Callithrix jacchus: one gene and its partner. The protein of the gene in region 1 binds, or shares a complex with, the protein of each later gene. Links are inferred from orthologs where the notes say so. Each region holds a gene or a part of one and is shown on either strand. Other genes may lie near its edges. The genes, in order: TIMM10B and TIMM10.

Region 1 (15,454 bases):
CTCCCAAACCCCGCGCTCCTCCAAGGAACCATCACCCATCCACCCGCGCCTCCCCGCCTCAAAACAAGGACCTCACGTGAACAGCCACAGCCCGAAGAATCCCCCTGCTGCTCTCACGGACATGGACACGCCTCACGTGGGCAGAGAGAGGCACAGCTTTTGAAAATCATCCGTGCCCCCACCCACAGACGCTCGGACCCAGACCCAGGCTGACAGGAATACAAACGCACCCTTGGGGCCCGCCCGTCGCACTCACCGCGTTGGAGCAGGATGCGAAGGCAAAGCCCGGACTGCGGCCACTCTGAGGGGCCCGCGGCGCTGCTGCTGCTTCCAGCGCCCGTCCGCCCGGCCCTGCTCGCGCCTCCGCCTGTCCCCGCGCCGGCGCCGCCGCCGGACCAGCCGCACAGGCCGGAGGGAGGGGCCGGGGCGGGGCTGCGGACCGGCCGGGGGAGGGGGCGACTCCAGCAGGGAAGACCCACCCACGCCCCGCCCGCCGCAGCGGAGGCCCCGCCCACCCCGCCTGCCCACCCCTACCGCACCCGCACGCCCCCACCCAACGCCCCCACCTCCTGCGGACGCTGCCTCCGCGGTGCTGCTGGGGAGCCGGCGAACCGGATCCCGGATCCCGGATCCCGGATCCCCGATCCCCGCCAGCTGCCTCCGGCTCCCGAGGACTCCGGGAATGGCGGTGTAGTCGGTCCCAGGAACTCAGATGAGACTCCGTCCAGAAAAGGCAGCTGGGGCAGCAGAGATTTCGGACTCTGGGAGCCCGTCTGGGCTGCCTGCCTCCTGGGGGCGCCCTTTCCGGCTTCCTTCGGGTGCTCCTGTGGAATATGCTAGTCTATCGGCTGACCAGGAAGACGTAGAAACCATCTGTATGTTAGCACGATCTCTGGGCGGCAGAAGGACAGTACTAAGAGCTCTGGGAGGAGTTAAGGGGTAAAAAGATGGGGGACTTGATTAGGCTGTGGGTGCCTCAGGAGCCCCCTCCTGAGGAAATTCTGGTTCAGACCATCCAGCGACTCCCTTCCTCACACCAAAGACACTAGGCAATTCTCATAATCATTGCCTTGTGCAAAAAGCAGCCCCATGTGGAAAATAATTATAACAGTTTACAGGGACTGTGTGGTTATGATGTGCGACACAGAACTAGCCACTTTACATATATTCTTTAATAGTCATAACTGTATTAGGTAATGTGTTTTATTAGCCGTTTTACAATGGAAGAAACAGGGATCTGGCTCCCCAGATGTCAGCCCTGATCACTCAGCTAGAAAGTGGCAGAACCTGGAGTTGAGCCCTGTTTTTAGGCCCTACCACCAGCATTTGGAGACTCAGTAACTTTCGTGTTGAAAAATCCCCAGTGGCCCATTAAGTGGCAGCTCATATGAGGACCACCTTCCTTGTCCCAAAAGTCAAGCTCTAGTCAGATGACTGCAGGCTGACCAAAGCCCAGAAAACTGCCTGGGAGCTGCAGTAACCATGACAAACGGCAAAGACAGGCCTGTGAGGTACCCAGTGCTATGGGAATCTGCTGAATGGGCTGTCCCCTTGCTCCAGCCTTCCAGAGGGGGAGAATCCTGAAAAATTCTGGAGTTTTCCTTGGCTAAAGGGCATACAGGTGATGACATCTGAGCCCTGACTAAACCAAAGTGCTGTTAGGAAGCTTTCTTGTGATCTCTCACACAAGGTTCAGATTTAGGCTCAACACCTGGGCGCAGCAGGAGCAGGAACTGCCTCAACCTCTTATCCACCTGAGTTCAGCACATAGCACAGGGTACTCCAGTGCTTGTGAAGGAACCCCAGATGGAGATGATGCTTGGAGTTTTGGGCTAGGGCTACTACCCAAGATGAGGGGACTGGAGTCGATAGGACACTATCTGACGCTTCAGAGGACTACTTTTCTCAACCCTATACTTCTCCCATGCAGTCAAATTTCTGCTTAAAACGTTTCACAGCTCCTCCAGAAGGCTAAAGTCCTTAACCACCTGCAGTCTTGATCTAGCCACTCCCTCTTCATTTTTCATTCCAAACAATTCCTCCTAGTTCCTACTCAGAGTTTTCATTATATGTTGGCCTCTCTGCTTGGGACGGGATGCTCTTCCCTTTACCCTGCCTGGTTGTCATCTACTCACCCTTCAGGTCTCAGCTTTCAAACTGACATCCCCATTTCCACCCCAGTCTATGCCAGATGCCTGCTTCCATTGCGCCCTGTACTTCTGTATCCTAGTACTTATCACTGTATTGTAGTTGCCTGGTTACTTTTTTTCCCCCACTAGGCCCTAAGCACTGTGCGCAGCGACTGTTTTATTCACTGATGTTTCCCCAGGGTCTAACGAAGTGCCTGGCAAATAAAAGCACTCAGTAAATATTTGCTGTATGAATGAATGCATGATGAAGGTCAGCAAATCCAACCCCCTCTGGAGTTGATGCTCTTAAGATCCATAGCTATCTTGGTGCCAGCTAAAGGACAAATAAAGCTTTGGTTCCAACTGGGGCTGGGAGAGAAGACTGCACCTTCAGACCATCTCTGAAATCTAGGACTTCAGCTACCTGGCCCCAGCTCTTTTAACTTGAGAGGGTTCTGGTGTATGATTAGACTGGGCATGTCTCCACCCAGGCCACCCTCCTAAAGCCCCCCCACAAATTGACCTCGCTGGGCCTGCTTTTATGAAAGGTTTATTCCTAGTGCTAGATCCCAATCTTCTTGGGCTCTAAGCACAATTAAACTGGGTGGGTGGGTGAGGGTAGGCCTATTCAGATGCAAGGCCAGCAATGGGGCTCCCCATTATCCCCACCCCTTTGGTCCCAGTCCCCTTCTCTGCAATGGGCATAGAGGAGAGACAAAGGGTATTGGATGCAACATCATTGGCCCAGGGGAGCCCAAGAAGAGCTGCCATTGGCTGACAGGGCATTTTGAGGCTCTGTCATTGGTCAGGAGGCACACCCCAGCCTGAGGAGTGATGCCATTGGCCAGGGAGTGGTTTTGTCATAGCCATTGGCTGTGGAGTGGAAGGAAGAGATCTGGGAATGAAGCCCTGTGGCCAGAAAGGGCAGCAGCTTCTGGGCCTGCAGGCCCTCTTCCCACCATAGCAATGTGGGCAAAACTGGTGTCAGGCCCCAGCCAGAAAAAGGAGCCCAAGCTAGAGGGCAAGTGACAAGGGAAGTCCCATGTCCAATCTCCCACACACCCTAGGGCTGCCCTTCCCAATGTCCTTCTTGATAGCCAAGTTGGGCTGGGAGCAGCTCACTGCTCCTCTAGCCAGGAGGGTTTCTCAGCTCCTGGAGGCCGCAGCTTGATGTTGAACTGCTGCAGGGTCTGCTCCAGCTGTTTCTGGTTCCCAGCAAAGTAGGCGGACACGGCATTGTGGAAGAGCAGCAGCTGCTTGTGCATCACCTTGATCTGGGGGTCCAGCAGGGTCAGCTAAGGCTGGACTCAGGCGCCCTTCTTGAGGGTCTATGAGCCTGAGCCCAGGCACAGACCAGGGGCACAAGGACTCTGCTCTGATGGTGCTTTTGGGGTAAGGGCTGAACTCTACCCCAGGGAGTCAAAGAAGAAGGGTCAGTCTGATGGAAGAAACCTCACTTGATCTGTTGGGCCTAGGGTTTTGGTACCCCAGCTAAGGGGGTGATTTTTCCCAGTAATGTTCCTGGGACCAGGAGCCAAATCCTCCAATAGGAAAGGGCCAGGAACTGGAGGGAGGGTGATGTGGAAAGGCCCAGGGGTTGAGAGGGAGCTGAGGGGGTAACATTCTACTCCCTAGCTAGGCTGCACTTCCCCATTCAATATGGGGAGGGTCTGAGGGGAAGGTTAGTGTCACAGATGGAAAGGTGGGCTAGGGTCAAGGAGGGTGGGGTTGGCACCTTGTTTTCTTCCAGGAACTTGAGCTTGATGGCCACATCTCCCCGCAGCTTCTCATACTTGTCCCGATGGGCCTGGAAAGTGGCCTGGGCACTCTCGAGTCGACCACGTGTCCCTGCATCCCGGGGGCCTAGGCTCAGCTCCTCTAAGTCTGTTCGGTAGGCATCATATTCCAGCCTGGGGAGGGGGTGATACAGGCTGGTCTCCACCCCTTTGTCTTCAACACATACTCTCCTTTCCTTCCTGAATTCTTATGCCCCTAATGCCCAAATTTCCTTCCATGCCAGCCAACTCCCCAAACCCCAAGCCCTGCCAGTGCCCACACCTGGCAGCCTCATACTGTTTCACAGTCATGAGCGTGTCTTCCATGGTCTTGGTGACCAATGTGTTGATGCTAGAGACAAAGAAGTTCACGGCTCCTAGCAGCGTTTCCCCATTCTTGCATAGCAGTTTCTGTGTCTCTGCATTGTAGCCAAATTCCTCCTGAGGAAAGGAACAGGCCTTGAATAACACTCTCTACTAGACTGGAGCTGTAGAGTCCTTCATTCCCCTCCTCCCCAGGGAGGAAATAGCCAGCAAAACTGGAACAACCAAGGACTGCCTCCAGCAAGGCTCTGTTAGCCAGAAAGTTAGTGGGGTCACCCTGGGGATACCTGGGGTAGGAATGTGGGTGGTGGGCATTCTTGGATAAGTTCACAAGACTGGAACAGTCTGAGAGCTAGTGTGCCAGGCAGGGGAGGGGCTCTGATTAGGTGAGCACTGAAGGCATTCTCCCCAATGCAGAGAGGGGTTATTTGTGAGGCACCTAGTGTGCCCCCTCCCCCACCCCCTCCAACTTCTGGATCTCTGTACAAACCCTTAGGCTGCCTCCACAGGTGAGTGCTGCTGGGGGTAGGGCTGGGCCCACCCTGAAGGGGTTCTCCCTGTGGGCTGCAGGAGGGAGGGAGGATGAGGAATGACTGCCTGAGAGGGCCCGTGCCCAGTTCCCCCACCCTCTTTGGTCTGGCTGAGGCACCTGAAGCTCTGGGGACTTCTGGCTGAGGTCAGCAAAGGCATCACCCAGTGCATGCTGGGTCTGCAGCAGGCTGTAGAGGTGGGCTGTTAGTGCCCGGCCCAGCTGCAGGACACTCTCATACTTGCGCTTCGTCTCACGCAGCAACTCAATCTGTAGCTCTAGCTCCAGGTCCACAGTCCGTGAGCCTCGACCAAATCGTTCTGATAATAGTTGCTTTGTGCACTGATTGGGAAATGGGGGAATAGGTCAGAGACCCTAATAGCCTCCCCACACAACAATATCTATCCCAGCACCCCCAGGCTCCTACTCTCAGCCACAGATGAGGTATTTATGATCATGAGAAAAAGGGAAAAAAGGTACCCATAAGGAGTTTTGGGGAAGGGAGAGGTGCTTAAATTCTACCTTATAGGTGTTGATGCCCCATTTCTTGACAATGTCAAACTTCTCTCCAGCGATGCCCCGAGCCACCTCATCTCCAGGGCCAGCAGGAGTGGTGCTGTGAGATGGATGGCGGCCAGACCCTAAAGGATCAAGTTCTCTGACACCAGCCTCTCTTAGACATATGACACCTCTGTGGCCCCACCCATACTTCTCTCCCAGCACATGAAATTGACTTCCCTGAAGGAAATGCTAAAGACAACTGGATTCTACTGCTTACTAGGAGGAACTCGAATCTTGCACGGTGAGAACCAAATCCTGGTATATATATGACTTCCTTAGGGGTTGGAGGAGGGGTTTGCAGGGAGTTGCTGGTGTACAGGGGCAGAGGAAACAGAAGAAAATACACCGACTTTGGGGGTAGCAGGAGTAAAGGATGGTGGATCATGCTAACAAGAAACCTGGTTGCATTCCCATGTGGAATCTTAGTGTGAGATTCAGGACTGTTTGTTCCTCTAAACTTTAGAATCTAAAATAAAATTCTGAGAAGCCTCACAAAGTTCCAACTCAGCCTCAAGCTGTAGAGTAGGGCATTCCTGTGAAGTAGGTCTTAACTTTGCTCAGGTGGTGGCAGAGAAAGGACAAATGAGCCATTTCAGGGGCCAAATAGCAAAAGGGAAGTGGATGGACAATGCTGGGAGTTGCTCTTGGGCTGAGGAGAGTCCATGGGGTTCATACAAGCAGAAGTTCCCAAGATATCTAGACATAATTTAAGCTTTCCTTGACATATCCTATGCTTCCCCAAACCATTCCTGTCCCCTCCTCCACCCAAGCTTCCTGTTTCTGAACATTCATACCTGTGGGGATGAGTCCATCACCAGAGCCCCCATAGCCACCAGACACAATGCTGGTTTCATTGAGGTTGGGTCCTGACACCATCACCTGCTGGAGGTCCTATAGGCCAGAGAAGAGGGATTGCTTCAGGAACATAGGTGGAGCAGAAGCATTTTGGAGGTGGGAACAAGTTTGGATTCAAGCATCATAAAGTCAGTATACAAGGGAACTCTGCACAGAATCAGAATGATATGTAAAAAGAATGGAGTCAGATAAGTCAGGGGAAGGCTACTGGAATCGGGGGTGAGAACCCAGGGCTTAGAAATTGGATTCCTAAATTGAAACAATTAGAAAAATCAAACAGAAGCACCTGCTCCAGCCCATCATCTTCAGGAAGCTGCCTGGCTTCGCCGTTCCCGTGGATAGGGATCTCCATTGTGGCTGCCTTCCCTAGGATCCCGTCCGTCATGGCTAGGGAAGGTATTGGAGTAAAACTCTCCACCCCAGCACCCTGCAAAGCCCAACACAGAAGTTCTGGACACCGGCCAGCACTCTAGAAGAAGGAGGCCCCCCCTGTCATTTCTGAGGTTTCAAAGGCTGTCGCAGGGTTTGAGTGTCCCAGCGTTTGGCCACCATTCCTTTCTTCAGGTGTATGTATTTCTCCCCTCCAAAATGCACATGTGTACATAGGCACACCAAAGCACTGTGTCTCCTCACAAGTCCCCAGTCTCACCAGGACTCTGGTGATTATTCATATACTCATTCAGTCATTCAGCAGACATTTAGTGGGTGCCTCCTATGTGTCAAGCACTATTTCTAACAATTAAAACACAACAGTGAAGAGGGAAAGCCCGCTCTCTTAGAACTTATCTCCATGCAGGCGTGCTTATGCTGAGCCTTTCCAGGGCTCCGGTCTTCACCCCCCCGCCCAATTCAGGTTTGTTCTCCATTGCTTGGCCTTTCACACTCCTTTAGTGTTTCTTCCCCCTTCCTTCAGGGGGTCTCCCCCTCCTCTGTCTCATGCACCTCCTCTTCCTCGGGCCCTCCCCACCAGGCCTTAGTTAGATCAGTTGATGTATGTTCCCAGTCTCTGGTAAAAGCCTCTCTCCCAGGATAGCGGTGATCCCTTCCACAGTCAGTTATGTCTCTCAGGTGTGTGAGTCCCCGCCCCCACCCCCATACACCTGGACATCAGGTGTGTCCTCATCCTTCCCCAGGGCTCGAGGCATCTTGCCCTCTGGACAGGTTTGTGCGTTCAACTTCCCGTCGCCCAAGCATGTCCCTCTCACCTCGGGCCGGGCCGCTCTTCCCCTCAGGGCGCCAGGCCCGGGCCGCGCGGGGACCTCGGGCTCCAGTTCCAGTCGCGATCCTAGCAGCAGGTCAGGGACTCGGCGGAAGTGACGTCCTCTCCGGGCAGAAGAAGCCGGCCACGTCGCAGATTATAAGGGCGGAGGTGACGTCGCAGCCGCGGGCAGGGCGATGCTCGAGCTAGTTCTCCAGAGCGGCGAGAGGTTCCTTCCGGGGCGGCACCGAGAAGCTGAAACGGAAGTGGCGTAGGGCATGCGCCGGTGGCGTGATGGAGCAGCAGCCTCAGCAACAACAGCAACTTAGAAACGTGAGTGAGAACTAAGTCGTTGCGGGGCCAGAAGTTCAGCTCGCATTCCTGCGCACATCGCGGGAACCCCATGGAGCCAGGGATTTGAGGGCTGGAAACATCGGGCTATGGTGCGCGGGCCTGGGAAACTATGGGCGGCGAGACCTTGAGTAGAAGTGTGGTCTCCCTTTTCTCCCAGCTGCGTGACTTCCTGTTGGTCTACAATCGGATGACAGAACTCTGCTTCCAGCGCTGTGTGCCCAGCTTGCACCACCGAGCTCTGGACGCTGAGGAGGTGGGGCACTGTGTAGGGAAGTTACGCTACAGATAGTTTAGCAGTAGACTGCTTCCCTCCTCTCCCCACTTCCCCTATCTCTGGCCCTGGCCTTTTCCACGGCCCTCACCCCTAGGCTGGGCATGGGGAAGGAAGGGGGCGGGCCTGACAGGAAAGACACCTTTACCCTCCTCTTAAACCCTGTCTTCCTTCTAGGAGGCCTGTCTGCACAGCTGTGCTGGGAAGCTGATCCATTCCAACCACCGCCTCATGGCCGCTTACGTGCAGCTCATGCCTGCCCTGGTACAGCGCCGCATCGCAGACTACGAGGCTGCCTCGGCTGTGCCAGGCGTTGCTGCTGAACAGCCTGGGGTCTCTCCATCAGGCAGCTAGCCATCCCCAACCCCACGAGGGAAGGCCCTGGACGGACTTCTCTGATTGAAGGACCCCAGTGGACCTTGGGGTTGGTGAATCCTATACAGAGAGAATTCGAGGTTGCCTGAAAGCTGGGTGTCCTTGCTCCTTTTCCTCGAGCCAATAAACCCGCTTTTTATTCTGTTTGATTTATATTCTGGGCAAGGAAGCTTTGCCGACTTAATTGGCACAATCCTTTGTTCTGTCATTTAGTGCATATCCGCTGGCTTCAGCCCTGGCAGCTGAGGAATTTTCTTCTATATGTAGAAGGAAAACCTGAGCATTTGTAGGCATCTGGTTAAAGCAGGCTCTATGTGTACAGTTTTAAGATGGGTACTATGTCATGCTATACCTTAGTTCATCTTTACAACAAAACTATGAGTAAGAGGTATTAGCCTTATTTAACAGATGAGGAAGTAAAAATCCAGAATGTACCAGAAGGCCAATTTATACAACAGGAAATTGGTTCCTGCCCAGATGACAGGAAATGGGAGCTCTGTCTAGTTGTCCTTAAGTCTGACTGACTTCAATGGCTCATAATCATGAGCCAAGTATTTGTTGGTTCATAACTGTTTTGTGAACTATGTCTTACATGTCTAGAATTCTGCTGGATCTAGGAAAGAAGAAGCTATCTAAGTACAACCTGTCAAAAAAAAAAAAAACCACAGGGCTCTTGGGTACTGCCTTCTGGAGAAGTTAGTGGCCACAGAAGAGAGATGAAACCTGTAAGAAGTCTGGGAACTTCAGCCATTTCCCCAGCTTGTTACTTCCTTAGTATTTACAGTATTCTCAAGATGAGCAGTAAAACCTTTGAACAAAGAAGTCTGTGCTTGTCTTCAGGGGCAATCAGGAAGGGAGAAAGTTGGCACATATTCTGCAATACAGCCAAATCCGAGGGAGAAACTGAAGGGCTAAAGGGACAAGTAGATAGCAGTCGTTGTGATAAAAAGGATAAAACTAAATATTTTTATTTAGTTTTATTTAGCATTATTCCTTCATGCTACCTTAATGTTTCACTGCTTGTCTAGAATTTCCTAATTCCAGCTTTCTATCATCTGCCCCATATTGGTCCCATGGTGTATGTTCTGTGATTTCTAATTCCAGCCTCTCCATTCTTTTCTCGTTATTGCCTCCCCCGCCTCCCACCTTTGTGTAATTTACTTCTGTATTCAGCAGCCTTAATAGCATACCATTCCATCACCCCATTTTCTTGCCATCATTGGCCATCTTTTTGTATCATTCTGCTTATTCTGTCTTTTCTGTTCCTCCAAACTACTAGAGTAAAACAGTTGTGTAATGAATGCCACTAAATATTCAAGGCCTCCACCCTCAGCCAAGTCCTCACATCTACACGCAGTCCTTTACCTTTATGGGTTTCTGGTCCATTTCCTTCTTTAATTACCATGGCAGTTATTTTATACCTTCACTGCTGTCCTTAATTGCATACCCCACCCTCATCAAGTGACCCTGTTTCTTTTTTTAAAAGAATGGAAGCTCTTAGACATTGGTTCCACAGTAATAAATTTTAAAATTTCTTACAACTACCCACAAAGCAGATGTTCTATCCTATCTACAGAGCAGAAAATTGAAATTCTCAAGTAGCAAGCCCATTATTAAAGTGCAGATCTGACTTTAAAGTCCATGTTCATTTTGCACACCAGGCTGCCTCTTAAGATAGTATTTATTGAACACCCACTTTGTATAGGTTCTGATTTTGGTAGATGTCATGCTTTATCTTAATCTTTATAACACAACTATAAGAGGTATTAGCCTCACTTAACAGATGAGCAAGCAACAATCCAGAATGTGCCAGAAGACCCTTTTATAGACAGTTCTTGTTTTTGTTTTTGATATGGAGTCTTGCTCTGTTGCCCAGGCTGGAGTACAGTGATGCTATCTTGGTTTACTGCAACCTCTGCCTCCCGGGTTCAAGCAGTTCTCCTGCCTCAGCCTTCCAAGTAGCCTGGGATTACAGGCATGTGCTACCATGCCTGGATAATTTTTTTGTATTTTTACTAGAGACGGGTTTCACCACATTGGCCGGGCTGCTCTGGATCTCCTGACCTTGTGATCTACCTACCTTGGCCTCCAAAGTCCTGGAATTATAGGCTTGAGCCACCATATCCAGTCTATATACAGTTTCTTATTGAGAAAAAATAGTTCGAATCATGTTTTTGCCCCCTTTAGCTGCCATCTCTTGAACAGAAAAGTTTGTTCTGAACTATTCCCTCTATACACAGTTTCTTATTGAGAAAAAATAGTTCCAATCATGTTTTTGCCCCCTTTAGCTGCCATCTCTTGAACAGAAAAGTTTGTTTGGATGGTAAAAGTTGCTGACCAGGACCTTACCCACGGAGTTGCTTTCTATTTAATGAAATTTCTGTCCTTGGGAAATATAAATGCAAGTAAAACAGGTTGTGAACTTCTTAACTTCCAGAAGACAGGAGGATGGAACCTGTGATACTGTGCTGCCAGTGGGAGGACTCTTCCACATCAACATTTTTGTGTATCCTTGCAATAAACTTCCATTGTGAATATTTGTGCTTCTCGTCTTTCCATGTCATATGATAGTAACTGCTTAAGAAGAGCTAGGAACATAGATCTGTTTGACTCTAAAGCCTTTGCTCTTTGGACTTTGAGAGCTTCTATCTGCGAGCTCATTTGTACTTAACCTGCCTCTAGGCATGAAAAAACAAATGTCCCTCAACCTTACCCATCAGTTAATCCCTTAAAATTTCAAAATCTTTTGTCCTGGTTCTTCCCTGTTTATAAATAAGTTCACGTGTAGGAGAAAAACCTTATTCCTACCATTCTGACTTGCGTATAATCTGGTATTCCTCAGGTCTTGCCATAAAGTGATAGCCATTGGCATAATGAGAGCAAGGTGATATTCCAAGCACAACATTAAAGAATAAATGTTGACAAAGCTTTATCATGTTATTTATCCCGTTATCACAAACATAAACATTGGAGATACTTTAGTGTTCCTGCCATTGTGGCTTGAGAACTTCTCAGTCTTTTGAGGCTAGTCATGCATACAACCCTCTCATTACTTATCTACCACTCTCATTTACTACAACTCTCCTGCTGCTTTACTATAAATAGCTAGCTCTTGGTCTTCCTGTCCACTCCTTGATATTTTAATATTTTCATAGACAATTTATTTGGTGTTTTGTCTCAGTTCTTTGGCCCAATCTCTGATAGTTTTCACTATGTCTTAGCCATTCACTCCCTTTGTCATATTTTGGCCATTTGTCATGACCTCAAACTGCTCGATCTTCAAAATACTTGCATCTTATTATTGACCATATTCCTTCCACTTGGTTTATTGAACTATTCCCTCTGCAGTCTCTGATTTCACTGCAGCCAATGCTTCTTTCCATTAGCTCCTTCCTTCTTTACATTCCTAGATAGCTTAAACTAGTGATTTGCATACAATGGGCTGAATTTCCTTGCCTTTCATCTCTTGTTTTGAACCCTTAAATAAAGTGAAACTTGTCTGTGCCTGCATTTGGACAGCTAAATGCCACCCAAGGAAACTACTGTGGAGCAAATTTACACCACTATAAATCCATGGTTATCAGCTTCAAATGTCTCAGCCCCATAGTCCTACTAGATTTTTCTAGTCATTTTTACTTATCCCAGCAATTACCATTTCAAACCATATTCTTAAATCTGTTATTACCCCCCACCCCACCACCATTATCTTTACTTTATGCAAGTAACTCTTTCTTCATAGACGAAAGTTGCAGCTATCGGTAATTCCCTCAACATCCCACAATTTATTTACCCACATATATGCATCATTCTCTTTCATCTAAACAAGGCAAGTATACCTCTTGTCTAAGGCCAGTGCCTATTCCTGTGCTCAGAATCCTAGTCCTTTTCTCTGAGGATCTTTGACTTACACTTTACTGAATTCTTATCAGTGTTTAAACATGCTAAAGACTCCCCTGTTAATAAACCATAAACCACTTTGTACCTCATTTCTTTTCCAGTTACCCTTCCATCTTTTCTGCTTTACAGTTAAACTTCTCAAAACAGTTGGATAGTTTGGGCCTCTTCATCCTACAGGTCATTTTCCATTTCCATTCTTCAAACCAGTTCATTTTGACTTCTGCAACCCTCATTCTATTGAAATGGTTCTAAGGTCACCTTGGTGATGACCTTCCTATCTTGAATCCAGTAGTTATTTCCCAGTCCTCACTACTCACTTCTCAGTAGCATTTGGTAAAATTTTCTAGCTTCTTATTGTTGATACTCTTCCATTGGTGCCTGGTTCTACTTTTACAGTTTTACTACTACCTCTTTGACCATAGCTTCTTAGCCTCCTTTGCAGGCTCATCCTCCTCCTAGCCTTTAAATCTAAGATTTTCTTTAGGTCCTGTTCTTCTCAGTCTAATTGTTCTAGGACAGTTTCATTCCCACTCTGAACTTATTTCCTGATGACTTCCAGATCTCCTCCAAGCTATTTGACGTCTCCACTTAGGTATCTCAAAAACATCCCAAACTCAATATGTTTCCTAATAAACTATCCTGTGCCTGGTACTCATCATCCAGTTGCAGAAGCTCGAAGGCATTTCCCTTTTTCTCCTGTCACTCAATTGCCAAATCTTATCAGTTTACATTTCTAAATATCTCTTGGTTCTCACTACCTTTCTCCACCTTTACCATGATCTCCCACCACGATTATTGCAGTTGCTGCTGCTTCCTATACCCACTTTTGTACCCCTTCAATCTATTCTTCACTCCTAAGCCATAAAATACAAACTAATGCTTAACCATTGCAATAGCTTCCTATTCTTACGATAAAAACAGATTCTAAATATGACCTGCAATGCCCTGCATGATCCAGCCTCTGCCTATTCCCAGCCTTATCAGTAACTATCAAACATTGGCCTGCCAGGACTGTTTGCTGAATCGATTCAAGTCATAATTCACTGTTTCCCTCTGTCTGTGCTCTAGCCACACTGGCCTTCTTTCACTTTCTCTAACTTGTCATGTACTAGTTCATCTCAAGGCCTTTGTATGTGCTGTTTCCTGGCTTACAATGCTTTCCCCCTTTATCTACCTTTCATGCTTGAGATCCTAGTTATTATTTCCTCAAAGAACTCTTCCCGAGACTCCAGCTCCCATAATCCCTTATGCTTTTGGTGTATCACACTCTTCAGTATGTTTTTCAAGTTTTACTTTGAATTATGTTAATTACAGCATTTGAAAGGGAGAATCTAATTTCACACAAAATAGAAGACTCTAAAATATACCCATTAAACTGCTAAAAAATAAATTCAGTGGTGAGAATACAGCAGAAGTCCAATTTAGATTCTGAGTATTGTCACCATGTGTTTCCTCCAAGCTTATATCTGGAGCTCCTGGAAGCCATTTCATACTCTGGTGGAGGGGCACAAAATCACAGCATGAGAAGGAATTAAATCCTGAATTACTGGCTTCATCACATCCACCCCCTCCACCCCAAAATGGCGCAAAAGAAACAGTCACCACACCCTGAAGACCTTTGGTTTAAAAGAGGTATTGATTAACTGGGTTGGAAACAGGTCATGAAGATCTGTCTAAAAGAGTCCCTTTCAAGTGAGTTTGCACACACATCAAGCAACAAGCCTCTCATTAATTAGGGCTAGGAAACCAAGGTTTGATTCTTAGGAAGTCACAATTTCATTCACTCAATATGATTTACAAAATGCCTACATATCAGCTTCCACTTGTAGTCATTTCTAGATAAAAAAGGAACCTGGCATCTCTAGAAGGGCCACCAAATTCCCCTTCCAAGTGTATAACTGAAAGGACCATTTTTGGAACTGGGTTTCTTTTATACCTCTGAAAGGGTAACACTTTAAAGCTGAATTATCTTTAGCCTGTAAATCTAACATCTTTAGCCTATAAATCTAACATTTAGCAATGCTTGCATCCCGGACATACAGTAAAAGAGACAAATTCGGAAGGTAGCTCTGCTGCAAAATAATGTAAAAGTATTGTACGGTATTTATGCTCAAAACTGCAGTTCCAAACCTAGCATGTGGCCACTGGCATTGTCATTCGTGCCATCCAGGACAGTTGACAGTGTCATTTTGATACCTGGCTTTAGGGTCTCAGTTTATTCTAAACCTATTGGGTTAGAGTTGTTCACTTAGCCAAGAAGCAGGTGTCCGGGTTGATCAGATATTTGAATATTCCAAAGTGAGTGTTTGTATTAGTCTGTTTTCACACTGCTGATAAAGATATATCTGAGACTAGGTCATTTATAAAGGAAAAGGTTTAATGGATTCACAGTTCCACATGGCTGGAGAGGCCTCATCATTATGGTGGAAGGCAAAAGGCACATCTTACATGGTGGCAGGCAAGAGAGAAAATGAGAGCCAAGTGAAAGGAGTTTTCCCTTATAAAACCATCAGATCTCATGAGACATTCACTACCACGAGAACAGTACAAGGGAAACTGCCTTTGTGATTCAATTATCTGCCACCAGGTCCCTCCCCAACACATGGGAATTATGGGAGCTATAATTCAAAATTAGATTTTGGTGGGGACACAGCCAAACCATATCAGTGTTACTGTTTCCTGCTGTCCAGGTGAAATTGACAGTGGTCTTCACCTTCTTATTCACCTTCTGTTAAATGGAGCCACCAAACTGTCCCATTGTTCACATTATTGTGAAACTGGAATTCATCAGACTTGTAGCCAATTGCAAAGTTGCTCTAGGTCATTCAGGATTTTGCAGTCTCAAAATTTACCTGGTAGCCAGCCAACCCTGTAACCCAGCACCTGGGTGCCCCAGATTGAAGGCCCAGCAATGTCAAAATCCAGGTACAGCCTAGGTTGATGTGCTCCTGCTTGTACCTGGACTTGATTTTAGCATTTTCCCCCCAGTATTAGGTGACAAGGATGAATGAAGGGTCAGCTTCAGACCACTTGCAAGCTAATCTTCCACAGTAATCTCAGTCCTAGTGTGTTGTATGTTTCACTTCATAAACATCAGGCCATACTGAGTTTATCTGTACTTGGTCTCCAGACTGCCTGTCACTTTGGTGGTTTCCATGTTGGCTGAGCCTAAGCTTACAAATGCAT
Region 2 (15,763 bases), about 43 Mb from region 1:
GTCACAGGACAAATAGCCTAGCCCTATCTAGAATCCAAGAGTCCCGACTCCCCCTCTACAACTCACACCAAATACATGCTCCCACAAGCCCCTCGGCCCAGTGTCCCTCCAAAGGCCCCGGCCCAGAGTGCGGGCACCCCACGAGTTGAAAAGGGCAGTCAGATTCAGCTGAGGAGTTCCTCTCTCTTTCTTCTGGGTGCACAGTAGGTCCTTCATGAACGTTTCTCCACCCCCACCTTCCTTTCTTACTCTCTCCTTTCCTTCCTCCTTCCTTCCCCAGGAAGCCTTCAGACTATCCCTGTTAATGTGTCCAAAGCAGCACTGCAGATAACTCCCCTCCCTCTCTCTTCCTGTTTCTTTTTTTTGAGACAGAGTTTCACTCTTTTTGCCCAGGCTGGAGTGCAATGGCGTGATCTCAGCTCACTGCAACCTCCACCTCCCGGGTTCAAGTGATTCTCCTGCCTCAGTCTCCCTAGTAGTTGTGATTACAGGCATGTGCCATCACGCCCGACTAATTTTGTATTTTCAGTAGTGACGGGGTTTCATCATGTTGGCCAGGCTGGTTTCGAACTCCTGACCTCAGATGATCCTCCTGCCTCGGCCTCCCAAAGTGCTGGGATTACAGGCATGAGCCACCGTGCCTGGCCTTTTCTTGCTTCTTCTGGTAGCCCAGGATGAAAGGGACATGGGAGCTCAAGTTCCAAACCCTTAGAAGTATAAATGCTGGATGTTCTGTGATGCATCCTCCACCCACTGCAGCCTCATCTCTCATTCATTTGTCCTAAGGCTTCCACCTTCACCCAGCCAGAGGTCCTCCCTTGGAGAGGCTGATCTCAGGGGTGTCCAATCTTTTAGCTTCCCTATGCCATTCTGGTAGAAGTAGAATTGTCTTGGGCCACATGTAAAATATATTAACACTAGCTGATGAGCTAAAACAAAAATTGCAAAAAGAAAAAAATCTCATAATGTTTTAAGAAAGTTTATGAATTCATGTCGGGCCACATTCAAAGCCATCCTGGGCCACAGGCGGCCTGTGGGCTGGACAGGCTTGGCTTAGACAGTCTGTCCCAACCCAGCTTGACTCTCAAGACTCCCAAGGTCCCCTCCCCTGCTCTGAGGCCTCCTCATGGATGGTCACCTGCAGGCTGCTCTGTAGGTGATCTCAAGGTTGCCCAGCTCCCCAGGGTTGAGAATCCTGGCATCTAACGAGAGTAGACATCGCGGTGGAGAGAATTAGAAAGGAGCCTAGATTTCTCCAACTGGGGGGCCCTTGGAAGGTGGGAGGGAGAATTGGCAGATGGAGAGGGACCCTTAGAAAGGAGCCCAGGGCTTCTCCTACCTGTGGGGCTTCTGCCTGTGGCTCGGGAGCTGTCTCTTTCCTCCAGCTGAGCAGCCTCACTCCAGGCTGCCTTTAAGCCCCAGTGGCCTCTAGCCCCCAGCTCTTTGGTCCCGCCTCCCCTCTTCCTCTCCCTCTTCCACCCCACCCCACCCCCACTTCAAGTGGCTTGGGCTGCCTGAAGAGCATTGTTTACTGCCCTGTTGGTACAACACTTTCCCCTAGACTGGGAGGCTCGGATTTCCCATGGAAGATCTGACAGGTGGCACCTTTCAATCACGGCATGTCCCTCCCGCCCTGAGCCTGGCAGCATCCGTCCCGTGGTCACCTTTCTTCCCAATGGACTCTCCTAACCCTAGAGACCTTAACAGCTGTCTTCAGGACCCACGTGTAGCATGACCCTGGCCTCCGCTGCTCATCCAGAGCCCAGGCGAGGCCTCCCGGGTTCCTTCACACTCACACCGCCAGGTTCCTTACATAGGCCCTTTCCCTCGTCCTGAGACAAAAGCAGCTGCTTAAGGCTGGGCTAAGGAGGGGCTGAATGGGGCAGCTGCCGACACAGGGATGTGTCTCAGGGCTCACAATGGACGGAGAGATTTGGAGGAGGAGGGGCAGAGAGGGCAAAAGTGATGGGGCAAGCTGACGGGTCACTAGATGGAGTCTGGAAAACACAAAACTCCTGAGTTCTATTCTGAGCTGAAGTGGCAGGTACACAGTAGGCCCTGAACACATTTTTATACTGAACTGACATTTTGCAAAGAAAATACAAAACAAGCCCGGGCGCAATGGCTCGTGCCTATAATCCTAGCACTTTGGGAGTCCGAGGTGGGTGGATGACTTGAGGCCAGGAGTTCGAGACCAGCCTGGCCAACACAGTGAAACCCTGTCTCTCCTAAAAATATAAAAATTAGCTGGGAGTGGTGGCACACACCTGTAATCCCAGCTACTCAGGAGGCTGAGGCAGAAGAATCACTTGAACCCGGATGGAGGAGGTCACGGTGAGCTGAGATTGTGCCAGTGTACTCCAGCCAGGGCAACAGAACAAGACTCCTTCTCAATAAACAAAACAAATCAAAACAAAAAACCAGGCCTTCACTTTCTGTGTGTTTTATGATCTAAGAAAGCCACTGCTTTTGGAGATTGGGTACAGGGGATACTCTTACTACTACGAAGCTTGGGACCCCCCAATCCTCCTCCCCGACTCCCCACCACTAGGCCACACTGGCCTCCTTTCTATTCCTTAAATAAATCTATCCCTTTTCAGACTCAGGACTAGTTTTTCCTTCTACTCTGCAAGACTGGCTCCCTCTCATTCTTCTGGACTCAGCTCAAATTTCATTCCCTCAAGAGGTCTCCCATGACCTTCAATTCCTCTCCATCATTTCAGCTGTTTTTATTGTTCTCATCATACTAAATCTAAAATTACTTTATTCTTTTCCTTATAACCTGTCTGGCTCATATTAGGTGCTTGATCAATACATACTGATGTATTGATCAGTACATTAATTAGTTCAACACATAATGAACTAATTAATTAACAGACATATGTGACAGGATGGCCGGGTGCGGTGGCTCACACCTGTAATCCCAGCACTTTGGGAGGCCAAGGAGGGTGGATCACAAGGTCAGGAGTTCAAGACCAGCCTGGTCAAGATAGTGAAACCCCATCTCTACTAAAAATACAAAAATTAGCCAGGCATGCTGGCGGGTTCCTGTAATCCCAGCTACTCAGGAGGCTGAGGTAGAGAATCTCTTGAACTCAGGAGGTGGAGGTTGCAGTGAGCGGAGATCAAGCTACCGCACTCCAGCCTGGGCAACAGAGCAAGACTTCGTCTCAAAAAAAAAAAAGAAAGAAAAGAAAAGTATGTGATAGGAACTTGGAGGCCTTGTGTGGGATGATCTAAAAGAGAGATCTTTTTGTGCATCCAGGTTTGGGTACTAGTGATCGAACAGTCCAATATTAATGGTTGCTGGCTGCTTCTAGTAATACTCAAAATCCGGCTGGGATTATAGGCATGAACCACCATGCCTGGCCTATTTTTCTTTTCAATATCTAATGACAGCAGGGCAAGATAAATGAATTTAAACAAAAAAGAGCCCAGCAAGCCAGAGAGAGATGTGGAAGAACTCGCCAATCTGGGGCAGGTGCACTGTGGATGGGTGCTGTTTTGAGAGTAAAGTGAAGGGGAAGCATGGAGAGAACTGGGGAGAGCAGCCAGGAGACAAACTCAGTGGCCCTGGTGCACGACGGTGGTGGCTTGGACCAGTGTCAGCCGTGGAAGTGAGAAGAAGTGGTGGGAAGCAATGAGAGTGCAGACAGTGAAACAGGGAAACTGCAGGCAGTGATAAAGCCAGGGCCAGCTTTTTCTTCAAGTGAATAGGATGACGTAAGCCATTCCATCACAAGGGAGGTCACAGGAAGCCTCTGTTTTTGTATTCTCTGCACCTCTCATGAGTGGTCAGGGCCAACTTGAAGTGAATCTAGGTGAAAACTCTGCATCTCTTCTTCTGGGGCTGGGTCCCATCTGAGAGGGCAATACGGACCCAAGATGAATGAAAAATATACAACTCACCTTTGTGAAATTGGGAAGAGGTAGAATTCAGGGTAGACGGAGGAGCCGGAGTTGCAGCATGGTGTTGAGAGATCCGCAGTTTTGGATGACATATCTGGAGGTCTAAGGATATCTTCAAAGTCTAAGGCTAAGTTGTCTTCTACAAGAAGGAGGTCAGGCCAGGTGCACTGGCTCACGTCTGTGATCCCAGCACTTTGGGAGGCTGAGGCGGACAGATCACCTGAGGTCGGGAGTTCGAGACCAGCCTGACCAACATGGAGAAACCCTGTCTCTACTAAAAATACAAAATTAGCTGGGTGTGGTGGCGCATGCCTGTAATCCCAGCTACTTGGAAGGCTGAGGCAGAAGATCGCTTGATGTTCTTTAGGGAAAACTGAGGAAATACAGTAAAAAAAAAAAAAAAAGAAAGAAGATCGCTTGAACCTGGGAGGCAGAGGTTGCGGCGAGCTGAGATCACATCACTGCTCTCCAGCCTGGGCAATAAGAGCAAAACTCCATCTCAAGAAAAAATAAAACAAAAAGCAGCAACTCACTGGGACCATGAGAGATTCCTACCTGTAGGTCCCCACATAGAGGAAAGACACAATCGCATAGTAAATAACTATAAAAATAACAATAGCATTACCATCAGTAAGACAATGGTTGTCCAGAGGCTGAACAGTTGGGGAAATGGGGAGTTGCTCTTCAATGGGTATAAAATTTCAGTTACACAAGATGAATGAGTTCTAGAGATCTGTGTACAAAATGGTACATATAGTTAAAAATACTGTATTATGCACTTAAACATTTGTTGGCCGTGCACTGAGGCTCACGCCTGTAACCCCAGCACTTTGGGAGACCGAGGCAGGTAGATCATAAGGTCAGGAGATTGAGACCATCCTGGCTAACATGGTGAAGCCCCGTCTCTACTAAAAATACAAAAATTAGCTGGGCATGGTGGTGTGCGCCTGTAGTCCCACCTACTCAGGAGGCTGAGGCAAGAGAATCTCTTGAATCCAGAAGGAAGAGGTTGCAGTGAGCCGAGACTGTGCCACTACACTCCAGCCTGGCGAGAGAGTGAGACTCCGTCTCAAAATAGAAGTGTTAGGCAGGGCCCAGTGTGGTGATGCCTGTAATGCCAGTGCTTTGGGAGACCAAGGCAGGAGGATTGCTTGAGGCCAGGAGCTTGAAACGAGCCTGGACAACATAGCAAGATCCTGTTTCCACAAAAAAATTTAAAAACCAGACAGGCATGGTGGCTTGTGCCCGTAGCCCTAGCTATTCAGGAGGCTGAGATGGGAGGATTGCTTGAGCCCAGGAGTTTAAGGTAACGGTGAGCTATGACTAGGCCTCTGCACTCCAGCCTGAGTGACAGAGTGAGACCCTGTCTCAATAAATAAATAAATAAATAAAAAGGATTTCTCTGTTAGAAATAAAAATGGACGAAGAAAATATGGACAAAGGTTAACAATTGCTAAGTTCTGGTGATGAATATATGGAAGCTCAATGTCCTGTTCTCTCTGCTTTTCCATATGTCTTAAATATTCCAGCTTGGCATGGAATGACTCATGCCTATAATCCCAACACTTTGGGAAGCCGAGACAGGAGTATTGTTTGAGCCCAGGAGTTTGAGACCAGCCTGGGAAACATAATGTTGACTGTATTTTCTTTTTTTTATTCTTTTCTTTTCTTTTTTTTTTTTGAGTCAGAGTTTCACTCTTGCTGCCCAGGCTGGAGTGCAGTGGCGTGATGTTGGCTCACTGCAACCTCTGTCTCCCAGGTTCAAGCGATTCTACTGCCTTAGCCTCCTGAGTAGCTGAGATTAAAGGTGCCCGCCATCATACCTGACTAATTTTTTTTTTATTTTTAGTAGAGATGGGGTATCACCATGTTGGCCAGGCTGGTCTTGAACTCCTGACCTCAGATGATCCACCCGCCTCAGCCTCCCAAAGTGCTGGGATTACACTTGTGAGCCACCGCACCTGGCCAATGTTTACTATATTTTCAAAAGCAAAACCCAAGGCAAGATACGTCTATCTGTACAAGAGTATGACAGCAGCATTTTTGCATAATAGGCAAAAACTGGAAACAATCCAAACATCCATCAACAGGAGAATGGATAAACGAATTGTGGCATATTCATACAGTCAAACACTAGACAGCAATAAAACAGAAGAAATAACAGATACACACAACAAAGTGGAAGAAATCTTACAGGTAAATTGAGCTAAAGAACTCAGGCACAGGCCGGTGGGGTGGCTCACACCTGTAATCCCAGCACTTTGGGAAGCTGAGGCGGGTGGATCATGAGGAGGTCAAGAGATCGAGACTATCCTGGCTAACATGGTGAAACCCCGTCTCTACTAAAAATACAAAAGTTAGCTGGGAGTGGTGGCACACCCCTGTCATCCCAGCTACTCAGGAGGCTGAGGCAGGAGAATCGCTTGAACTGGGCAGGTGGGGGTTGCAGTGAGCCGAGATCGTGCCAGTGCACTCCAGCCTGACAACAGTGAGACTCCATCTCAAATAAATAAATAAATAAGAAGTCAGGCACAAAATAGAAAATAATGTATAATTCCATTTACCTTAAGTTCAAGAACAGGGAAAACTAATTGATGGTGATACAGGTCAGAATAGTGGTTAACTTCGAGAGGGAGTATTGATGGGGAAGGAACACTAGATAACTTTTTGGGGTACAGGAAGCATATCCTGATCTGTGTGGTGGTTATATGAATGTATATATATATATAAGCTTTAGAGTTGTGTATTTTATGCACTTCATGAATGTTATACCTCAATCTTAAAAAATCGGGGCACAAGGTTTGACAAAGATGAGTCTTCAGAGCAGTAGGAAGGTCAGCTGTTTAAAATCAGGATGGTCCTGGACAATTAGAGAAGCATGTGACGACCATACATATAAAATGTCTAGCCCACCTTTTCCAATGGGCAATGTACCCTTGAGTCATTAATTTACATCTTGTAAATTTATTTTACTAGGAAATTGTGTGACAAATCAAGGGACTGAGTGTTGTTTCCTTCTTTTTAGTGGGCAATGAGCGAATGGTGCAGTTTGAGGAATACATTAAGTCTTGAAAGATGAGAAGTTCACCAGTACCCTCCTTCTGCCTCACCCAAGATTAGTCCTGGTGGCAGCCTAAATTGCGTTTATTAATCTTTTTATGGCTCAGGGCCTCTCACTGTTGAAGAAAACGTATTTCACACGTCTCCTCTTTCTGTAAGCAGGAACCGTATCTCGCTTATCTTTGCAACCCAGACAGTGTTAGTGTGATCTACACACAGCAGTAATCGCACAACGTCCTATGGAGCACTGCTTCTCAAATTTGGCTGTACAAACGAATCACCTGGGGAATTTTAAATTGTACTGATACCTGGGTCCTACTCGCAGAGATTCTGATTTAATTGAAATGAGGCGAGTCGTGGGCACTGGGATTTTTAAAAGCGTTCCAGGTGATTTTAACGCGAAACAAAAACTGAGAACCGCTGTTGGGGGTGTTCTTCCGTCTCCACGCCTGATTTGTGGCTGTCCCGGACGGGGGTGAGGTTCACTGATATCTGTCGCCACACCTCTTCCTACAGAACCAATAAACTGAAAACTCTCGGTGACAACCTGAGACTTGAATTCTGATCGGGCCGCAGGCGCTCTGCACCCAGCCCAAGCCTCTATGGTACTTTGGCGTCCCCTCTAGCACTGGCAAATCGCCTTCCTCTTCGCCCGGCGCCGCTCGCTCCCTTTGTAAGATCGCCGAGTTCCCGGAGCCGTCTCGTTGGTATTTCATTCCGGAAGCGAGTTTGGAGCCAAGAAGAGGCGGGACTTCTCTCCCGGAAGTAATCCACGTGCTTCCGCTGGAGCCTTCTTGGGAGGCAGGTAACGTTATAGTATTTGTAAGGTCTCCGTGGGCATTGTGATCCGTCCCAGGTAGTGGTGAGTGATCCGTGACTTCTGAATTCAATGTGTCCCTGATTATGGCGTCACCATTTCAGAAGTGCATCCTTTGGGCCGGGTCCCGGTCTCCTCTGTTCAGCGTATGATCTCATTCCCAGGGCCCTGGAGGTTCAGGCCTGGGTTAGAGCGTTCTGAACCGGTCCTCGATCTTCTGAATAGAGATGACCTCTAGGGACTTGGGTATCAGAGATCCAGGGCTCGATTTCCAGGCTCGCCGTGAATGTCCCGTGCGACCTTGGACTAGGCCTCAGTTTCCACATCCGTGAAATGGGGTTAAGCTAGGTTAAGCTCACTGAGGTTAGTGGCCCCTGGTGGTCTGGCGCCCTGTGAGTCTTTTGGATCCTCTAGCCCCGGGGTAGGAGAGTGAACGACGGCAGTGGGTGATGACGGTGGTGTCTCCTCCCAGGATTAGGAGGCCAGAAGGAGATCCCTTCCAGGGTGCTAGGCCAAGATGGATCCGCTCAGGGCCCAACAGCTGGCCGCAGAGCTGGAGGTGGAGATGATGGCCGATATGTACAACAGGTAAAGAGAACCATGTGCTACACTGTCTTGGAAAATAAGCCTTGGCCACCCTTTTCGAAGGTGAATGACTTATAACAAATTTCATCCTGAATGTAGGGGAGCGAGAGACCCATGCTTACTCTCACCATACCCACCTTCAAGGTTGATTCTAATGCAGATGCAGTAAAGGGTCACTAGAATATTTAGATGGGGATAGAACTGGAGATGCGGGAGCCAAGCAGGAAGAGAAACTCCAATTCAGGCTCTGGTTAGGTTCCAAGAAAAGCTGAAAAGCTGAGTATTTGCTTTTTGGCAAATAGCACATAGCCAGCCCATTTAGTAGTTAACATTTTAAAGCCCTTGGCCGAGGCAGTGGCTCATGCCCGTAATTCCAGCACTTTGGGAGGCCGAGGTGGGCAGATCACGAGGTCAGAAGTTCCAGATGTCTGGCCAACATGGCACAATCCCATCTCTACTAAAAATACAAAAATTATCCGGGCATGGTGGCAGGCACCTGTATTCCCAGCTACTAGGGAGACTGAGGCAGGAGAATCACTTGCACCCAGAAGACGGAGGTTGTGGTGAGCTGAGATTGTGCCACTGCACTCCAGCCTGGACAGCAAGAGCAAAACTCCATCTCAAAAAAACAAAAAACAAAACCCTTTATTCTGTGTCAGTCACTTGTTAATCTTCAAAATAATCCAGTGGGTTAATTTTATTAGTCCCATCTTAAAATGAGGAAATTGATGCTTCTAGAAGTTAAGTAACTTCCTCAGAGTCCGCAGTTGGTCAGTAACAACACCAGAACTAGCACCTCAGTCTGATTCTGCAACTAGTGCTCATAATCATTTGGCAAATTTGGGAACAAATCCCGGCTCCACCAATCACCAGCAGTGTTCTTGGACGTGTTACTTGCACTGTTTGACAATTGGTTTCCTCATTATGAAAAAGACATAATGATACCTACCTCATAGGGTATTATATATATTACATTTAAAAATTTCTGAAAGCCCTTAGCCTCAAGTCCAACACTTAGCAACAGTGAAATATCTGCTATTTTTATTGACTTAACCTCTCTTGATTGGTTGGTTTACCCTGAAGGCTATAAATTAGGAAGGATTTTTAAGTGTAGGAAGTGAGGCCAGATGATCTGTGTTCATATTTTAGCTCTATGTGATTCTTAGAAAATTACCGAGCCTCTCTTGGCTTAATTTCCTCATCTGTAAAATGGGGATAAGTATCTCTTAGGGTGATTGTAAGGATTGCATAACAGAATGCATGTAAAGCACTTAGCATGATGCCTGGCACATAGCCAGTTTAACAAATGCTTTCTGCTTAATTAGTCATATACAGGGGCTCAGACAAGTGTCCTGCTTGCAAGGAGCTTCCAGTGGTTGAGGTGGAAACTGAGGATTTATAGTGCTTTCTTGGGGAAGGTGAAATCAATATAGCAGGGCTGGGATGGTCGAGGGTTCCTGGGATGTCACAGGATGCTGCTGACATGACCTTGCCCCTCCCTCCCTCCAGAATGACCAGTGCCTGCCACCGGAAGTGTGTGCCTCCTCACTACAAGGAAGCAGAGCTGTCCAAGGGCGAGTCTGTGTGCCTGGACCGATGTGTGTCTAAGTACCTGGACATCCATGAGCGGATGGGCAAAAAGTTGACAGAGTTGTCTATGCAGGATGAAGAGCTGATGAAGAGGGTGCAGCAGAGCTCTGGGCCCGCGTGAGGTCTCAGTCAGTATATACCCTGGGCTATATCCCACCCCTCCCCACTCGAATAAAAGTGCCCTCTGTTGGGTGTCATCTGTGAAGACTGCCAGGCCTAGGCTCTCGGTAGAGTCTTCAAGATCCCAGAGTGGTAGTGCTTTCTCCTGGTGAAGGAGTATTTGTCACACTGGAATGTGACTGTGTGTGAATGTATGTGTGTGTGTATATATATATATATATATTAAAACAACTTTGTTGACACCTACTATGTGCAAAGCAGTGTGCTTGGCATTTGAGAGTAAACAGAGAAAACCTCACAAGCAGAGAGGAGACTAATGTAGTATTTTAAGAGTAAGACAGTCCGGCATGGTTGCTCACTCTGTAATCAGCACTTTGGGAGGCTTGGGGCGTGGGTGATCACTTGAGGTCAGGAGTTCAAGACCAGCCTGGCTAACATGGCAAAACCCCATCTCTGCTGAAATACAAAAATTACCTGGGTGTAGTGGCATGTGCCTGTAATCCCAGCTACTTAGGAGGCTGAGGCAGGAAAATTGTCTGAACCTCAGAGGTAGAGGTTGCCTGAGTCGAGATTGTGCCACTGTACTCTCCAACCTGGGGGACAGAGCAAGACTCTGTCTCCAAAAAAAAAAAACAAAAAACCAAAACAAAACAGGAAGACAGCTTCAGTTTGCCTGCTTTCTGCTGTTTTTTATGTGGCCCTGAACCTGTCATTTTTGCCTGCTTTCGCTTCTTCATCTGTAAAACGGTTAGTCAAACATGGTTAGCCCTTTGACTATCCCTGTTTTACAGATGAGGAAGCTGAGGATTTAAGAAGCATGTTGCTTGCTTGAGTTCACACAAGCAGAGCAATAATATGGAGGCCAGACCCGACTGCTACTGCGTTTGCTGTCTCACCGAGGAGCATCTTCAGAGGACTGAGCAGTTTTCAGAATGTGTAGGTCTCCAGATGGGACTGTGGTTGACATCAATGCCACTGTGACAGTAGTACCTTCAAAGTTGGCCTTCCTGGCGAAAGTGTCTGGGATGTAACTAGGTCATTGACATAAAGGAGATAGAATAGAGGCAGTGAGTTTGGGGCTTGTGAGTGCAGGTTCAAGCCAGACTATGTAACTTTGAGTTTCTACTGAAATTTTCTGGTAGTGTGATCTTGGGTGAGGCATTTTAACTGCCCTGTGCCTCAATTACCCCATCGTAAAATGGCAGTAAGGTTACCTACCTCTTAGGAAGTTGCAAAAATTAAACGTGTTAACAACCAAAGCACTTAGGAGAGTGCCTAGCATACATTCAGTATGCAGTAACATTAGCTTTTTTTTCATTGCTAAGTTTGGTGGGAGGTGAAGATGACAGATGTAGTGGAAAACTTCAAAGCCGTTGCTCCTCTTAGGGGTAGAGAGCAATAAAGCTCTTTCTAGGTACTGAAGTGCAGCTTTTGGTCAACAGGTGGCGCTGTCTGCTCATGGTCAGCGCTGCTGCGGACAATTTCATACGTTTTATCATTTGCCTATTCTTGGAAGAGAGGACCGGTGAAGAAAATCGATATTATGTATGCCCTCAGGTTTAGCAAAAAACATCAAGAATTTGTTTAGAAAAAAAAAATCCCTGGAACATCTAGCAGGGATGGTAGAAGGGATGAGAGGTTCCAGCTGGAGGCAATGGCACTTGCAAAGGTTTTGTTGAAGTGGCTTTAAGTGTGGAGGTGGAGCCTTCCAGAAAGGAGAGCTTCAGCTTCAGTGTGGCTGGAGTGCTGAGTGTGAAGAGAAGTGAAGAGGCTTGGAGGCTGGGCAGACTTAGCTCCAGAAGAGCTTGGTGAGCTGTGTTAAGGAGTTTGGACTTTCTCCTACTGAGGGCAACAGCAAACTATTGAAGAGTTTTAATCGTTCGGTGACAATGACAAGTTTGCATTTTGGTGGCTCACTCGAGCTGCCAGCCAGGTAGACGGGGGTAGAAGAAGGTAGATAAGGGACTAAAGGGTGATGAGGCAGGAAGCCAGAGAGCAGAGAAGGGGGATGATGTGAGTGAAAGTTGATAATTTATTGAGTTGCTATTGTGTGCTCAACTCCGTGCTAAATTCTTCACATGTATTATTTCAGATAATTCTTCTAACAACTTTAAGACAGCTATGATTGTTCCCAGGTGAAGAGGCTGAGGTTCTCAAAAGCTAGTAAGTTGCCTAAAGTCGTGTAGCCTGCAAGTGGTGGAGCCAGAATTCTAACTTAGACACCAGAGGCCACTTTTAACCACTTCTCTAGGACTGGGGGGAATGGTCCTTAGTGAGAGATGTGTCAAGTTTCATATTTCACTCAACAGTATTTATTACTGGCCTGCTACGTGCAAAGAGCTCTGGAAAGTGCTCAAAGTGAATTAGTTAGATCCCTACCCTCCATGAGCAAGCAGGGTGGGGGTGCAGTGGACAGCAAGAGGGCTGGAACACACATAAAAGGGTATAAGAAATAACAATTAGGCTGACCGGGTGTGGTGGTTACACCTTTAATCCCAGCCCTTTGGGAGGTCGAGGTGGTTGGACAACTTGAGGCCAGGACTTTGAGACCAGCCTGGCCAACATGGTAAAACCCCATCTCTACTAAAAATACAAAAATTGGGCTGGGTGTGGTGGCTCATGTCTGTAATCCCAGCACTTTGGGAGACTGAAGTGGGTGGATCACTTGAGGTCAGGAGTTTGAGACCAGCCTGGCCAACATGGTAAAACTCCATCTCTATTAAAAACACAAAAATTAGCTGGGCCTGTAATCCCAGCTACTCAGGAGGCTGAGACAGGAGAATCACTTGAACCTGGGAGGCAGAGGTTGCAGTGAACCGAGATCTTGTCATTGCACTCTAGCCTGGGGAACAAGAGTGAAACTCCATATTAAAAAAAAAAAAAATAGCTGGGCTGGTGGTGCACACCTGTAATCCCAACTACTCGGGAGGCTGAGGTATAAGAATCACTTGAACCCGGGAGGCTGAGGTTACAGTGAACTGAGATTGCACCACTGCACTCCAGCCTGGGAGACAGAGAGACACTGTCAAACAAAATAAAATGAAGTAGGTACTTTCTGCCATAGGGAGGAGTCATAAACTGCTAGCCCTCAGGTGTATTTTTGCTTATCAGTTTTAAAAATCAAAAAATGTCTCAAAAAATTAGGAAGTTGGCTTCTTTTGAAATTTTGGGCTGGGAGCCGTGGCTTATACCTTTAATCCCAGCACTTTGGGAGGCTGAGGCGGGTGGATTACCTGAGGTCAGAGTTTGAGACCAGCCTGACCAACATGGTGAAACCCCATCTCTACTAAAAATACAAAAATTAGCCAGACATGGTGGTGTGTACCTTAATCCCAGCTACTTCGGAGGTTGAGGCAGGAGAATTGCTTGAACCCCGGAGGCGGAGGTTGCAATGAGCAGAGATCGCACCACTGCACTCCAGCCTGGTTGACAAGAGCAAAACTCCATCTCAGAAACAAAAAAAAAGAAAAAGAAAATTTGGAAGATCTGACAACAGTTGACATGCATTCCTGCCTGGCGTCAGCCTGATGGAAGATGGGCAGAGGCTCAATTGTCTGCCAAACTTCCCACCACTGGTGTCTTCCCTCCCTGTCATCATCTGCTTGACCTGTAGGCATTTGGTTTGTGCCTTCTGCTCTGGGTGCCCAGATGAACTGGATGCTCTATGAGAAAACATGCTGTAAATGTTTTGTGGTAGGCAGCCTGGAAGATCACTGGAGCCTCCAGTGATCCCTTCTTCCTGGTATTCATGCCTGTGTATAATCCTCTCCCTTGAGTGTGTACTAGACCTAGAGACTTGCTTCTCATAAACAGAACACAGCAAGGGTAGTGGGATGCTACTTCTAAGGTTAAATTACAAAAGAGTATAATGTCTGTCTTGGGGGTTTCCCTCTCTTGATCTTGCTCTCATTCTCTCTCTCCCTCTCTCACTGTCTTGTTCTTCCCTCCTGTTTACCCTGATGAAGCAAGCTAGCAAGCATCCATGTTGTGAGCTGACCTCTCAAGAGGCCCACGTGGTGGTAAGGAACTGAGGGAAGCCTCCAGACAGCGAGGAACTGAAGCACTCACCACATGAGTGAGCTTGGAGGCAGAGCCTTCCCCACTTGAGCTTTCAGATGACTGCAACCCTGGCCAATGCTTTGCAGGCTTGTAAGAGACCCTGAGACAGAACACACAGTTAAGCTGCACCCTATCTCCTGACCTAGACAAACTGCGATAATACATGTAGTTTTAAGCCACTATATTTTGGGATAATTTGTTACTCAGTAACAGATAACCAACTCTTGCAGTTGTCTAAGATTATATTTAGTCATTTTACACGTACACCAAGAATATGCCAGGCACGGTTTTAGACCCTTGGAATACATCAATTAACAGCACAAGTAACGAGGCCAGGCACAATGCTCACATCTGTAATCCCAGCACTTTGGGAGTCCGAGGTGGGAGGACAGCTTAAGCCCAGGCGTTTGAGAACAGCCTGAGCAAAATAGTGAGACACCATCTCTACTAAAAAAAAATTAGGCCGGGCACGGTGGCTCAAGCCTGTAATCCCAGCACTTTGGGAGGCCGAGGCGGGTGGATCACGAGGTCAAGAGATCGAGACCATCCTGGTCAACATGGTGAAACCCCATCTCTACTAAAGATACAAAAAATTAGCTGGGCATGGTGGCGCGTGCCTGTAATCCCAGCTACTCAGGAGGCTGAGGCAGAAGAATTGCCTGAATCCAGGAGGCGGAGGTTGCGGTGAGCCGAGATCGCGCCATTGCACTCCAGCCTGGGTAACAAGAGTGAAACTCAGTCTCAAAAAAAAAAAAAAAAATTAGCTGGGCATAGTGGCATATGCCTGTGGTGCCAGCTATTCAGGAGGCTGAGGTGGGAAGATTGCTTGAGCCCAGGAGTTTGAAGCTGCAGTGAGCTATGTTCACAAAACCGCCCTCTAGCCTGGGCAACAGAACAAGACCCTGTCTCAAAAAAAAAAGAAGAAAAAATAGGTAAAGATCCTTGATACTTGCCCTCTGGGAACTTGTGTTCCAGAGGGGGACGGTTTTCCATAGCGGAAGTCTGTGTTAGCAGTGCTATTTGAAGCTCCTTCAGTATCTGGGGAAAAGGTTCTTCTTTCAGTTCTTAGACCTCTCTGAAAATCTGACAAATGTCACAGCCCGTTTCCTGAATGCACATAGAATTTTGCTTGCAATTTTAGAGATTTTCATAAGCGCTCCTGTGGGCTGACCTAAGAGGAGTCTTTTGACAAACATTGTTTTAGGTGCTGGGGCAAAGATAGAAAATCTAAACCAGTTGTGGCCAGGCACAGTGGCTCATGCCTGTAATCCCAGCACTTAAGGAGGCTGAGGCAGGAGGATTGATTGAGGCCAAGAGTTTGAGGTCAGCCTGGGTCACATAGTGAGATGCTCATCTCTACCCACCCCCCAAAAAAGAGCTGTTCAGCAGGGTGCATGAAGGAATGTATCCCATAGTCTTAGTGCTCAGGGAAGCACCTCCCACAAAGTAATAGGTGAGTGAGATTTGAAGGATGGGTAGGAATTTGTCAGGCAGGAAGCATGGTGGGTGGTGGGTTCTGTGTTAGGTGGTGAGAGGATAGTGGTGAGGAAGGTGGGCACAGGCCCCTGCCCTCTGAACTGTCAGAGGAACAAATATATGATGAGTTTTCTCAAAGGGAAAGCC

Evidence for each region.
Region 2: the proteins of TIMM10B (region 1) and TIMM10 are in contact, whole or in part, in a cryo-EM structure (PDB 7CGP), measured with the Homo sapiens proteins. The link is inferred for Callithrix jacchus from reciprocal best matches to the Homo sapiens genes TIMM10B and TIMM10. Residues at the interface, in NP_036324.1 of Homo sapiens: Gln7, Leu11, Leu14, Arg15, Phe17, Leu18, Leu19, Tyr21, Asn22, Arg23, Met24, Thr25, Glu26, Cys28, Phe29, Val33, Pro34, Ser35, Leu36, His37, His38, Arg39, Leu41, Glu46, Leu49, His50, Ala53, Gly54, Ile57, His61; in NP_036588.1 of Homo sapiens: Ala6, Leu9, Leu13, Glu16, Met17, Asp20, Met21, Arg24, Ala28, Lys32, Cys50, Asp52, Arg53, Cys54, Ser56, Lys57, Tyr58, Asp60, Ile61, His62, Glu63, Arg64, Met65, Gly66, Lys68, Leu69, Leu72, Asp76.

What each region holds. Positions count from the first base shown.
Region 1 is NC_133511.1:72,162,432-72,177,885, forward strand, and holds TIMM10B (mitochondrial import inner membrane translocase subunit Tim10 B), read left to right. Parts: upstream 1-7,628; 5' UTR 7,629-7,665; coding exon of another isoform or gene 7,666-7,704; 5' UTR 7,705-7,834; coding exon 7,835-7,978; intron 7,979-8,173; coding exon 8,174-8,350; 3' UTR 8,351-10,906; downstream 10,907-15,454. Other genes in the region: ARFIP2 (arfaptin-2), read right to left, coding at 3,248-3,403, 3,865-4,039, 4,188-4,345, 4,719-5,099, 5,280-5,398, 6,113-6,209, 6,460-6,558. UniProt on the Homo sapiens protein: Component of the TIM22 complex, a complex that mediates the import and insertion of multi-pass transmembrane proteins into the mitochondrial inner membrane.
Region 2 is NC_133511.1:115,093,090-115,108,852, reverse strand, and holds TIMM10 (mitochondrial import inner membrane translocase subunit Tim10), read left to right. Parts: upstream 1-7,736; 5' UTR 7,737-7,770; exon of another isoform or gene 7,771-7,831; intron 7,832-7,925; exon of another isoform or gene 7,926-8,149; intron 8,150-8,258; 5' UTR 8,259-8,303; coding exon 8,304-8,374; intron 8,375-9,880; coding exon 9,881-10,082; 3' UTR 10,083-10,325; downstream 10,326-15,763.